Linked DNA regions of Coturnix japonica. The protein of the gene in region 2 binds, or shares a complex with, the protein of the main gene of each other region. Links are inferred from orthologs where the notes say so. Each region holds a gene or a part of one and is shown on either strand. Other genes may lie near its edges.

Evidence for each region.
Region 1: TAF1A (region 2) and POLR1B share a complex: the UniProt entries of both Homo sapiens proteins name them as parts of the pol I pre-initiation complex. The link is inferred for Coturnix japonica from reciprocal best matches to the Homo sapiens genes TAF1A and POLR1B.
Region 3: TAF1A (region 2) and POLR2L share a complex: the UniProt entries of both Homo sapiens proteins name them as parts of the pol I pre-initiation complex. The link is inferred for Coturnix japonica from reciprocal best matches to the Homo sapiens genes TAF1A and POLR2L.

The regions. Positions count from the first base shown.
Region 1 is NC_029518.1:13,944,413-13,948,676, reverse strand, and holds the start of POLR1B (DNA-directed RNA polymerase I subunit RPA2), read right to left. Parts: upstream 2,801-4,264; 5' UTR 2,756-2,800; coding exon 2,603-2,755; intron 2,524-2,602; coding exon 2,356-2,523; intron 2,229-2,355; coding exon 2,082-2,228; intron 1,937-2,081; coding exon 1,804-1,936; intron 1,490-1,803; coding exon 1,353-1,489; intron 1-1,352. UniProt on the Homo sapiens protein: Catalytic core component of RNA polymerase I (Pol I), a DNA-dependent RNA polymerase which synthesizes ribosomal RNA precursors using the four ribonucleoside triphosphates as substrates.
Region 2 is NC_029518.1:15,725,709-15,729,024, forward strand, and holds the end of TAF1A (TATA box-binding protein-associated factor RNA polymerase I subunit A), read left to right. Parts: intron 1-186; coding exon 187-307; intron 308-1,470; coding exon 1,471-1,631; intron 1,632-2,481; coding exon 2,482-2,603; 3' UTR 2,604-2,816; downstream 2,817-3,316. UniProt on the Homo sapiens protein: Component of the transcription factor SL1/TIF-IB complex, which is involved in the assembly of the PIC (pre-initiation complex) during RNA polymerase I-dependent transcription.
Region 3 is NC_029520.1:8,951,784-8,954,044, forward strand, and holds POLR2L (DNA-directed RNA polymerases I, II, and III subunit RPABC5), read right to left. Parts: upstream 1,115-2,261; 5' UTR 1,032-1,114; coding exon 937-1,031; intron 794-936; coding exon 685-793; 3' UTR 501-684; downstream 1-500. UniProt on the Homo sapiens protein: DNA-dependent RNA polymerase catalyzes the transcription of DNA into RNA using the four ribonucleoside triphosphates as substrates.

The DNA.
Region 1 (4,264 bases), about 1.8 Mb from region 2:
TGTGGGATTAATGTACTTCAAGAGCAGCACAGTGGATATGAATGAGGTGATGATCACAAGTGGTTCCAGTCTAACAAAACCCTTGGAAAAACAAACAAACAAACTTGCATCCTCTATCTTAAAAGGCTTCTTTTGTCTCAAGTTAACTCCTTATCTCCACAGAAGTCAAAAGACAGCTTAGCCTATTACAATCCACTTCAGCTTCAGCAATTCATTTTCTACATCTCATGCTTAAATCCTGTGTTCTGAGCACTTGGTGTTATAATGTTTCCTAGTTGTTTATGTCAGGGTTTAAGTGACCATTCTGCTCACCAGTAACTGGCTGACAAACCTCCCCCATCTGTAAGCAAACTGTCTCTCCACTACATTTAAAAAGCCTTCAAGAAGCTCACAGAAAAAAAAAAAAATGGGAACGGCATGAAAAAGACACGTAGACAGATTTCTTTATTAAACGGCTGATGAAGGGGGCATGCAAACCCATGGCATGATATTCATGGAAGAATTCAAACTTTAGACAGTGCAGCCTGCTTAGCTTATGACATCCTGTAAGCTAAAGTCAGTATAATGCCCTTGCTTATTAAAACACAGGGTAATTACCTATCTCTGCTGACTAATTTTAAGTCCTGAACACAGGAGGCTGAAAGAACACGTAAATTCCCTGAGACCAGACAAGCTGTGGTGCCACAGGCCACAATTTGCCCTAACCCTTAGCTGCTGTGTAACACACAGCTGAAGCACCCAGGCTTTGCTGTTTTTAATGGAGAAATTTGGAAAGGCTTGACTAACATCAAGCTTTCCCTGCTACTTAAAGAGCAGCTTAACTGCACCCAATGTGCTCAAACTGGCACTACTGGTTTTGTCTTCCAATTCTTAAGTGTTTCCAGTTCCAAACAAAAACAGCATTTTATTTTTCTCCTTTAAAAAAAGAAGAGAACCAGTTTACTGGTTTCCTTTTATATGAGAGCTTGACTTTAATGATTAACACTGTTATAGTCGAGGCTGACCTAACAGTTTCTTAAATGGTCAATGAATTATAAAAATACTCCTAGGATCTTTCTGGTTAGGTTACAAGCCCTTACATCCTCCACGAACTATTAATCCACAACATTCATTAGCAGGAAGCCATAATACTTTGGCATAAGCCTGCATGCACTTCCTCTGCTCCACCTGCACACTGCATCACACATGCAGGCTCAGTTTGCTCTACAGTTCTTCAACCAACATCGGAAATATGACCGAAAATACTTAACATGGCATCAGCTGCCTCTCATTACTCATGAAAATAGAAATGCTTAGTGAAACTTCTGCATTTATTTAACACAGAAAGAGTGTAATGTGTATTATTTGTTTACCTTTAGAGCAAATCCCAAGGGAAGGAAGAACAGCTCTTTCTGAAAAATGAAGTTCAACATTACGCAGCCATTTTCCAGGTAGTGAAGGTTCATGTTTATTGCGCTGTGCTCTTCTTTAACACAGTGCATCATTATTCCTGCAGGAATTAACAGAAGCAAAAGCCAACATGAGCTAAGCAAGAAATACAGACAGCACTTATGTGAGATGTCCGAGCCGGTGTGAGATGATTCAGTAGATCAGCACAGGCAGCTCAGAAACCACCTGAAAGGCAAGCACTTGCCTCATGCATCACTATGGTGTTACCAACCACTTGGTTTCCTATGTAGTACAATTTACCTGAAAACATGAACACCATGCAACAGCAACAACAAAATAGCAGCTCTAGTTGGTCATCCCTGTTTGTTTATGAGCAGCTTCTGGAGGGATGTGGTAGCAAGGCCTTTAGCTTACCGTACTCTGTGAAGCCAGGACCTCTGTTTTTCCACTTGTGTCTCGACAGTGCAAGAGGGAAGTTGCGCCTGGGCATAATCAGCATTCTAATAACCTTCTCTAAGCCGTTAATTATGAAGTAGCCCCCCATTTCCTGTCAGAAAGAAAAGGCTTTTAATGCGCTTGAAGTATAATTTCAAGTAAAATAAGAAAACGCTTCTACTATGTTATAAAAACACTCAAGCCTAACACTGGCCTAATATACTGCATGTTGTCCTGATACACAAGATCCTCGTTACCTCCTCCTCCTCGTGGTGCTGGATGAGCTCTTGGGGAGAAAGATTATAAAGGTTGCACAATTTGGACTTCACCATGATTGGAATATACCCCACAGGCTGTTTAATGGTCCCTTGTGGAATGCCATTCACTGACCAGCTGATGTCAACCTAAAACGATACAAAGCCAACAGTGAGCAGACTGAGCTGGACTCGTTTTGTTCCCGGTATAATAACCGCAGGACACAGCTCTCTGAACGCTTCCCGAAGCCGTAGCTGAGGTAAGAAACCCGCTCACCGTCAGCCTCCCGCGGTACGTGCTGCGCAGCCCGCGGCACTCGGCCGGGAACACCTTCACCTCGTGGCACAGCGTCCCCTTGGGCACCAAGGGCGGCGAGATGGCGACCCCCACCACGGTGAGCGCCACGCGGCCGTCCTTCAGCGCCAGCTCCAAGGGCGGGATGTCCTGCAACACACGGCAGCCCACAAGTCAGGGCGAGCTCCACCAAGCGCCATCCCCGCAGCCCGCTCGCCCCCCCCGGCACCTGCAGCGCTCGGTACACCCCCTCGCTGATGGCGTAGTTGAAGGACTCGATGTGCGCGGCGGTCAGGTCTCGCCGTACTCCGCTGCGGGGCCGCTGCCGCCGTCTCAATCGGTGCGGCTCGTGGGCCATGCCCTGCTCCATGGCGGCCGCCATGCTGCCTCCGTGCGCCTCCTCCGCTCCGCCCCGCCCCGCCGGCTGCCGGGACACTGCGGGGCGGGGCGGGACGGTCGCGAGGCGGAGCGCGTGCTGCCGAGTGCTTCCCGCCCACGGCCATGGCAGCCATCGCTCCTGAGTGCCGTGCCCGCCCCATGTAACAGCGCCCTGTGCCATGACAGCAGTGCTCGTGTCCCACAGCACAGCATCCCCCTGCACCGCGTCTGGCTGTGCTGCAGCCCTCAGCACCAATCCCCTCAGTGCCCACATCCCGCTGGGCCGCATCCTTCACTGCCTGCATCCCCAAGTCCCTCAGTGTGCCAGCAGCCTGCCCGCCCTCACGGCCCCATGGTGGTGGCACACACACAGATAAGCAGGAGGTGCTTATCTCTACGGAGCAGGCTTGCAGCTCCTGCCTGCACCAACACCATTATCAGGCCTACAAATCACACCCCAAAATCCCCCCAGGTATTTGGCACGTAGCCCTGTTGGTTTGCCTTTATCTTGCTCTTGTACCAAACCACTGCCATGGGGCTTGATGCGCTCCTTGCACCGCACTGGTTCCTCCATCAGTGGATCTGTCACCCCACTGTCCCAAAGAAACACCGCAGCCATGGAGATTTGCTTGTTTTAATGATGCTTGAGGACAGACATGGACACGGCGGCTGGAAAAGCACAAGCTGGGAGCCCTGCCGGCTGTACACGTGCATGCTGACGTGCAGGCGGCCAGCACGGAGACCCAGAGCCATGGCAGGAGTGTCCCATGCACCCCCAGCATCGGCTGCTTTCCGAGCCATGTCTCTCTGCAGTAGCTGACAGTGGGAATGAGGCACCACCATTAACGCATGTATGGCATGGCACAGCTCCCACAAGGAGAGCTGCACGCAGAGAACACTAAATGATAGGACAGGGGACATGCAAGCAATCCTAAAGGGCACTGATGACAACAGGTCACAGCAGCTGAGTGAAGCAGCATATAAGACCTCCACAGACTTCTCCGGTGTTTGTCATGGCCTTCGGTAGGAGCACAGGAGCTGCTGCTGCCACACGGGAGTCTGCAGAAACCCAGAATCCAGCTGGACCAGTCCCTGCTGGTCAACAGCCAGGGCACCTGCATCCTACATCCTTCATGGCTGATGCTGAACTAAGTCTAGAGACAGCCCGCCATATGGTGGGTATCTTCTTGAAACCTAGCACCATCCTTTGCAAAAGCTTAGGAAAGAGACTAAGACCTATTCTACTGCCCTTTGAGCTGAAAGGAGCTAGAAAACATCTGGTTTTGCATTTTTCTAAGAAAAAAAAACACCACCCAAAGTCTCTGAAGGTTTTGCGGGCATTACTTGCAACAGCTGCAGTGCTCAGGCCTCAGCCACACGCATGTCCCCTCCTGCTTGGCTAATACATGGGACAAGAGCTCAGACACTGTGCTGTCTGTCCTCTATCATTTCCCACCCGTGCTTTATCTCAGTGAGCATGCTGAGGGCAGGTGGTAAACAGTGGCAGGCAGTA
Region 2 (3,316 bases):
CTCTAGACCCATGGACACTTCCTTGGCATTCTCTCTTGGAAGAGGCAGAAAGCAGTGGGGGGAGCCCTCAGTAATAGGGAAAGCAGCGGTATGTGGGAAGGCAGTTTGGAGAATGTTTTCCCTGTTGCTTACTAGTAAGTTCGTATTAATCCAACTGATTCATTTATCAGCCTAATTTCTTTCCAGAGAAACAAAAAAGACGTCGACTGGGGCTAGAAGTTATTTTTGCAGTCTTGGATTATGCTGGCTGGAAGGAAAGTGTAAAAGCATGGAGTTGTTTGGCGAGACAGGTGAAACAAATTGTAATGTGAGTGTAACTGATGTAAGGTGCTAAAAGAGGAATGTATGTGTCAAATCTCCTCCTGCGGGCAGTTGACAAAGTGACTCTTCTGTAGTCTTTGTCTTTCATGATGGCAAGTGGAAGAGTGGGCTGGCCTGTACTGAGATCTGTGGCTGTGCTTGGCTGCAGCATGCTTTCAGTGGCAGGAAAGAAGAAATTATTACTGAGAGAAATTCTTAAATTTCCAGTATTATCATTAGCTGAATTACCAGGTGAGGTGTTTATGCAGAAAATGCTGTTCAAATGTTTGGATAACATTTACTGCCTGTCACTGTTCTCCTTCCAGGAGGAAAAAAAACCCAACAACATTGTTTGGTCTTCTGCTATTAAACATATATTGGTTGCAGCAGATTTGAGGATGAGTGTGCTGCAAAAGGGATGTGGTGCGTTGTGCTGTTGTGTCGTGTTCTTCTTTGATAACTTTGGTGGTAACTTCTTCAGAATACAATGTGTTCTTAAAAGCCAAGTCAGAGTGCCTGGGGACTGATAAATACTTGCTTGTGTGTTGGGAGGAGGACTCTGTTTTCAGGAGCTCCATCTCCAGGCAATCCATGCTCAGAAGGTCTCTAATGTCTGGGGTTTTTTTTTCCCCAAAAGTAGAGGTTTTAATTTTTCTTTTAAGCCTTGTATACTTACAATGAATCAATTTAGTACCGCTTGACCCATTTTGCTGTTTTATTGCTGCCTCTACATACTCAGAAGGCCCGAAAGTTAATGGATTAAAACTGAGAGTGTTGTTGCATATAGTTAGGAAAAATGGTACAATACTTCAACTTTGCCTGTAGTTTTGCTTTTGAGAACACAACTTCAGAGTACCTTGAAATATACAGGGCATCTTAATCACTTTATAGGAATATCACTTCCCTGTTTTCAATTGTAAAATACTGTAAGGTCTCCACTGCCGAGTTAACTCCACTGAGTTAATGGAGTAAGGTAAGTATATGAAATACAGTAGTGTTTAATTATGCATAGATTTATCCAAAGTTTTTCTTTTAAAAAGAAAATTGCTGCTTAAATAGTTCAGCCTGCAGTGTAGTGTCAAAGTCTGCCAGCACACCAAGCTGATTATAAAACTCAGTGCCTCCTCTTTACTATTTCATCTCAGTTTTTCTTGTTTTACCTTTTTGCAGTTCTGAGAAGCATCTTAACTGGATTAAGAAGGAGTGGAACTCCAGAAAGGACTGGTGGCCAGCCTTCCATTTTAGCCGCTACTTAGCAAAGAGGAATTGGCAGGAAAATGAAATCCTTTCGTATGAAAAAGCTCTGGTGGCTGGAGTTCTACTAGGAAAGGGTAATACTAAATGTTCTTTCACACTGTGTACACTAGAAAAAACACCTAGTTCTAGCCCTAATGAGATAAGATGCAGCTGGTCTACTCCCTGGAAGAATGCTGTTTCTTTCTTCTAGGAAAGACTGTGGTCTTTGAAGTTCTATGGGAGAAAAACATTTAAAATGGTTTGATATTCCTCATTTAGAGACATACATTGCATAACTTGCCTTATCCCAGGTTTGAGTTCAATTTTATTTGGCCTTGTTGAGCAGTCACAATACTACAGACTCTGTTTATAACCTTGAAACCACAATTTCAAAAATATACAGCAGGCTCCTGAGGCTACAGAAAGTTTGCTCACTGAGCTACAGTCTAAGCAATGTCTTAGCAAATACTGAGGGTGAGGTGATCCTTAAGGACCTTGTGAGTGATGAAGCATAGAAAAGAGGAGGAAGGAGGTCTTGAGTGAAAATAGTCACTGTCCAATAAAAAAAAAAATGAAGATCAGGACTTCTATGGTGGTGTTCACTGAAACATTGATGAAATCAAGAAGTGGTGACGAAGTTCAGAATGAGAATATGGTGTGGAGAGCATAACTTATCTATTAAGTTTGGGCCTTTAGTTAATTAGAAGCTTTATTCTTTCAGTTCTGTACCTTACCTTCCAGACTCTGTAGAACAGTTTCTTGAGTTGAAAGCCTGTTTAGGTCTCAGTAATTTGATGCTGCAATTATGTTGATAATGTGTATGTCTTTGATTGTTTTATTACCTTATTTAATAGGTACTTGCATGCTTGTGTGTTACTTAAAAAGCAGAAGTGTTTTGTTTGCTTGTATGACAAAGCTGACATGGCTTTTTCTTCTCTTGCTTAGATTGCAAGTACTTTAAATACGTGTCACGCCAAGGCTGCAGAGCTCAGGTGAAAAAGTTTCGGACTCTCAAGAAATTTGTGAATAAGCACAGTAGTGCCTACCTGAGCATATCTGGTCTTTGAGATTCCTCTGTACAACTGTGATTAAAAGGTGTCTTGATGGTCTTGCTGCATTCTTTTTACCCTTTTGAAACTGGCTTTTTTTTTTATTGGCATTGGTCTAAAAGCTGCTCTAAAGAGATGAGCTGTCAACTCCAGTAGATATTTTTTATATATATTTCTGTTAAAAGCATTTGGTTTGTATTTATTTTGTAATAAAATAATTATGTAAATCAACAGATGATGCTGAAGAATTTCTTTGCTATCAGTTTTAGATTTCTCTGAAATACAAACAATCAGTAATTTCAGGCTTACCTTGAACTACTTGGTAATTATACTATAGAATCTGTGTTGGTGATACTGTGGAGTGAATCTTACGTTCAGTTGTATGGATGCTGATTTAAATGGCTGCTGGAACGTGGCTCAAAATCCACTCAGGGCTGGATGTGGCAATCCTAATTAGTAGGCTGTCTTAACCTATGAACAGTGTGTGATGCAGCATGAAAGCAACTTTCTCACTATACATGTTGCGTAACTTACTGTTTATGACTGATTTCCTAAAAATTTTTCTTCTTGGCCACCTGGGCACACTGTCAGCTCATGTTCAGCCCAGCATCAACCAACACCCCCAGGTCCCTTTCCTCTTCACAGTAATTCAGCCCCAAGCCTTTAGTGCTGCATGGGGTTATTGTGGCCAAAGTGCGGGACCTGGCACTTGGTCTTGTTGAGCCTCATCC
Region 3 (2,261 bases), on a different chromosome or scaffold from region 2:
AATGACTGACAAGTGGGAAGCTTGCACTCATACCAGCAACAGAGCAGTGCAGGTGTTTGGCAAGACTCTGATCCTGTTCACAGTTACATGCATTAATTCTCACATCCATTGCCTTCAGATGTATTTTACCTAAGTGAGGAGCACTGCGCCACCTGATTTACTGTTTTCTGTGATGGAGCTGCCAGTCTGCCCCAATTTTTAACAAGACACTATAGGCTGACTTCAGTGAAAAAATGAGCTCCGCTAGCACTGCAACCTACTAAGAGTAATGCCTCATTCATAGCAAACAAACATCCTCTGTGCTGTTTCTGGAGCCTGGAACTTTGCTCTCTTTCTAACCCCCCTTGATTGCCCTAGCTTCAAACACTGTATTTCTAACCTCAAAATGACCACTGTGAGGAAATAGTGAGATGGAAGTGTATGCTGAACTCTACCCAGCAACTCCAGGAAGGCCACAGGCAGAGGCTTCCTCTAGTTCAACATTTTACATAGACAAATGATTGTATTTCATAAAACACATTTATTTTTTACGGGCAAAAGCATCCTAAAGTTCACAAAAAGAAACCAATAACAACCTGTATGTAATTAAAGAGAAACATCTACATATGTAAGCTGTAGCTGTGAAGTGGATGTCGGCCTTCATTTATTTCCTTGGGAGAAGCTGGTGGCTGGGTCAATCAACTCTCATTTCTCCAGCGGTGCGTAATTCAACAGCTTCTCAATCAGATCCACGTGTGCCAGGAGCATCCTGCGGCAGCAGTAGCGCTTCAATCCGAGGGCATCCAGGGCATCTCTATTAACAAATAACAACACGATTAAAAGAAATAAATACAAAACGAGTCAGAACCGCTCGTAAGTGCTCCTAAGCAACGCAATGATTGCTCTGAGCTTAGTTTAAAGCAAGGTATTAGCGTGTGCTGTTAATATGACACCCACCCCTCGGTGTACTCCGCCTGCAGGAGCCCGAGATACGCCTCCCACTTGTTGCCCACGATCTTGCCGCACGTGAAGCATCGCACCGGGATGATCATGGTTCGCACAGCGCCGCTTCCTCCTGCAGCTGCCCGAGCGCAGCCCTACGGCCGCTCCCACTGCACCGGGGGGACACGGGCGGTGCGAGCCGTTCTTGCTCAGCCGTGAGGATGCAGAGCGGCGCTGGAGCTCCCCCGTTCCCGCACAGGACGGCGGATGGTAGCGGCCGCCCTACGGCTCCTTGCGCGGCTCAATAGTGTTTGCGAGCGGGGCGGGCTGCTGATCGCGTTTCGCGTGCGCGGCGCGTGGTGGCAGCCGGGGCCGGCGGAGCGCAGAGCGGAGACACCGGCGGGGCGGGCTGAGCCGAGCCGAGGAGGCGCCGTGCCCTTCCCTCCCTCCCTCCTTCCTTCCTTCCGCGCTCTCACTTGTTGCTTTACACCCGGACTTCTGCAGAAGGCACTTCTTCATCGCGTCCTGCTCGAGGTACCGCAGCCGCGCGGGGTGGAAGCGCAACTGGTGGCTGCAGCCCGGCGCCAACCAGCGGGGCACGGCAGCGCTGTGGGACGGGGCAGCACGTCGCACTCCCCTCCCTTTTCCTCCCTTTTCTTTCCCTTCCCGGTGCGCGCACTGGTAGCGCCAGGCGCGGTCCGTCTCGCGGCTGTGTTGGCGTCCCCAATTTGGGGCGGTTTGCTCCGTGTCCTCGCTCCCCTTTGGAAGGGGAAGGAGCCGGGCAGGGGCTGCGCTCCGTGAGCTGCGCTCGGCGCCGATTTGCGCGGCGTTGCCCGCTCATTTGGAGGAAGCCGGGCTGCGGAGCGCTGCCGTGGTCAGCGGGGTAAGCGAGGTTAGCGGTCCCGTGGCGGCGGCAGGTCAGTCGGGAGTTGCTGAACTCCGGGTCTGGGGGCTGTGGGGGGTGATGTGGGGGGGTTCAGGGCTGCCCGCTGTAGCGTTCCTCGGTCTGTCGGCGAGCCGCGCGCAGCGAAAGCAAACGGGGCATAAGCCGTCCTTGAGGCGCTATCCCGCTCCCCGGAGGGTGGAGGCGGCCGTGGCACCGCGAGCGTCGCGTTGCAGCTTTACTGGCTGCCCCCAGCCGGGGAAGTTGGGCTGCAGCGGGGGATGCGTCGTGAAGCCGCGTGCGATCCTCCCGTGTGAGCGTCGCGCGGAGTGCTGCGCTATGCGATGCTTGTAACTTGAGGGCGGCACGTTGCTGTTCGGGACAGACTGGGTTAAAGCGTCACCCCGAGCGCTGTCGGTCCTTAGTGCCCTCTTGCTTCACGGTTGTCCTTGGGCAG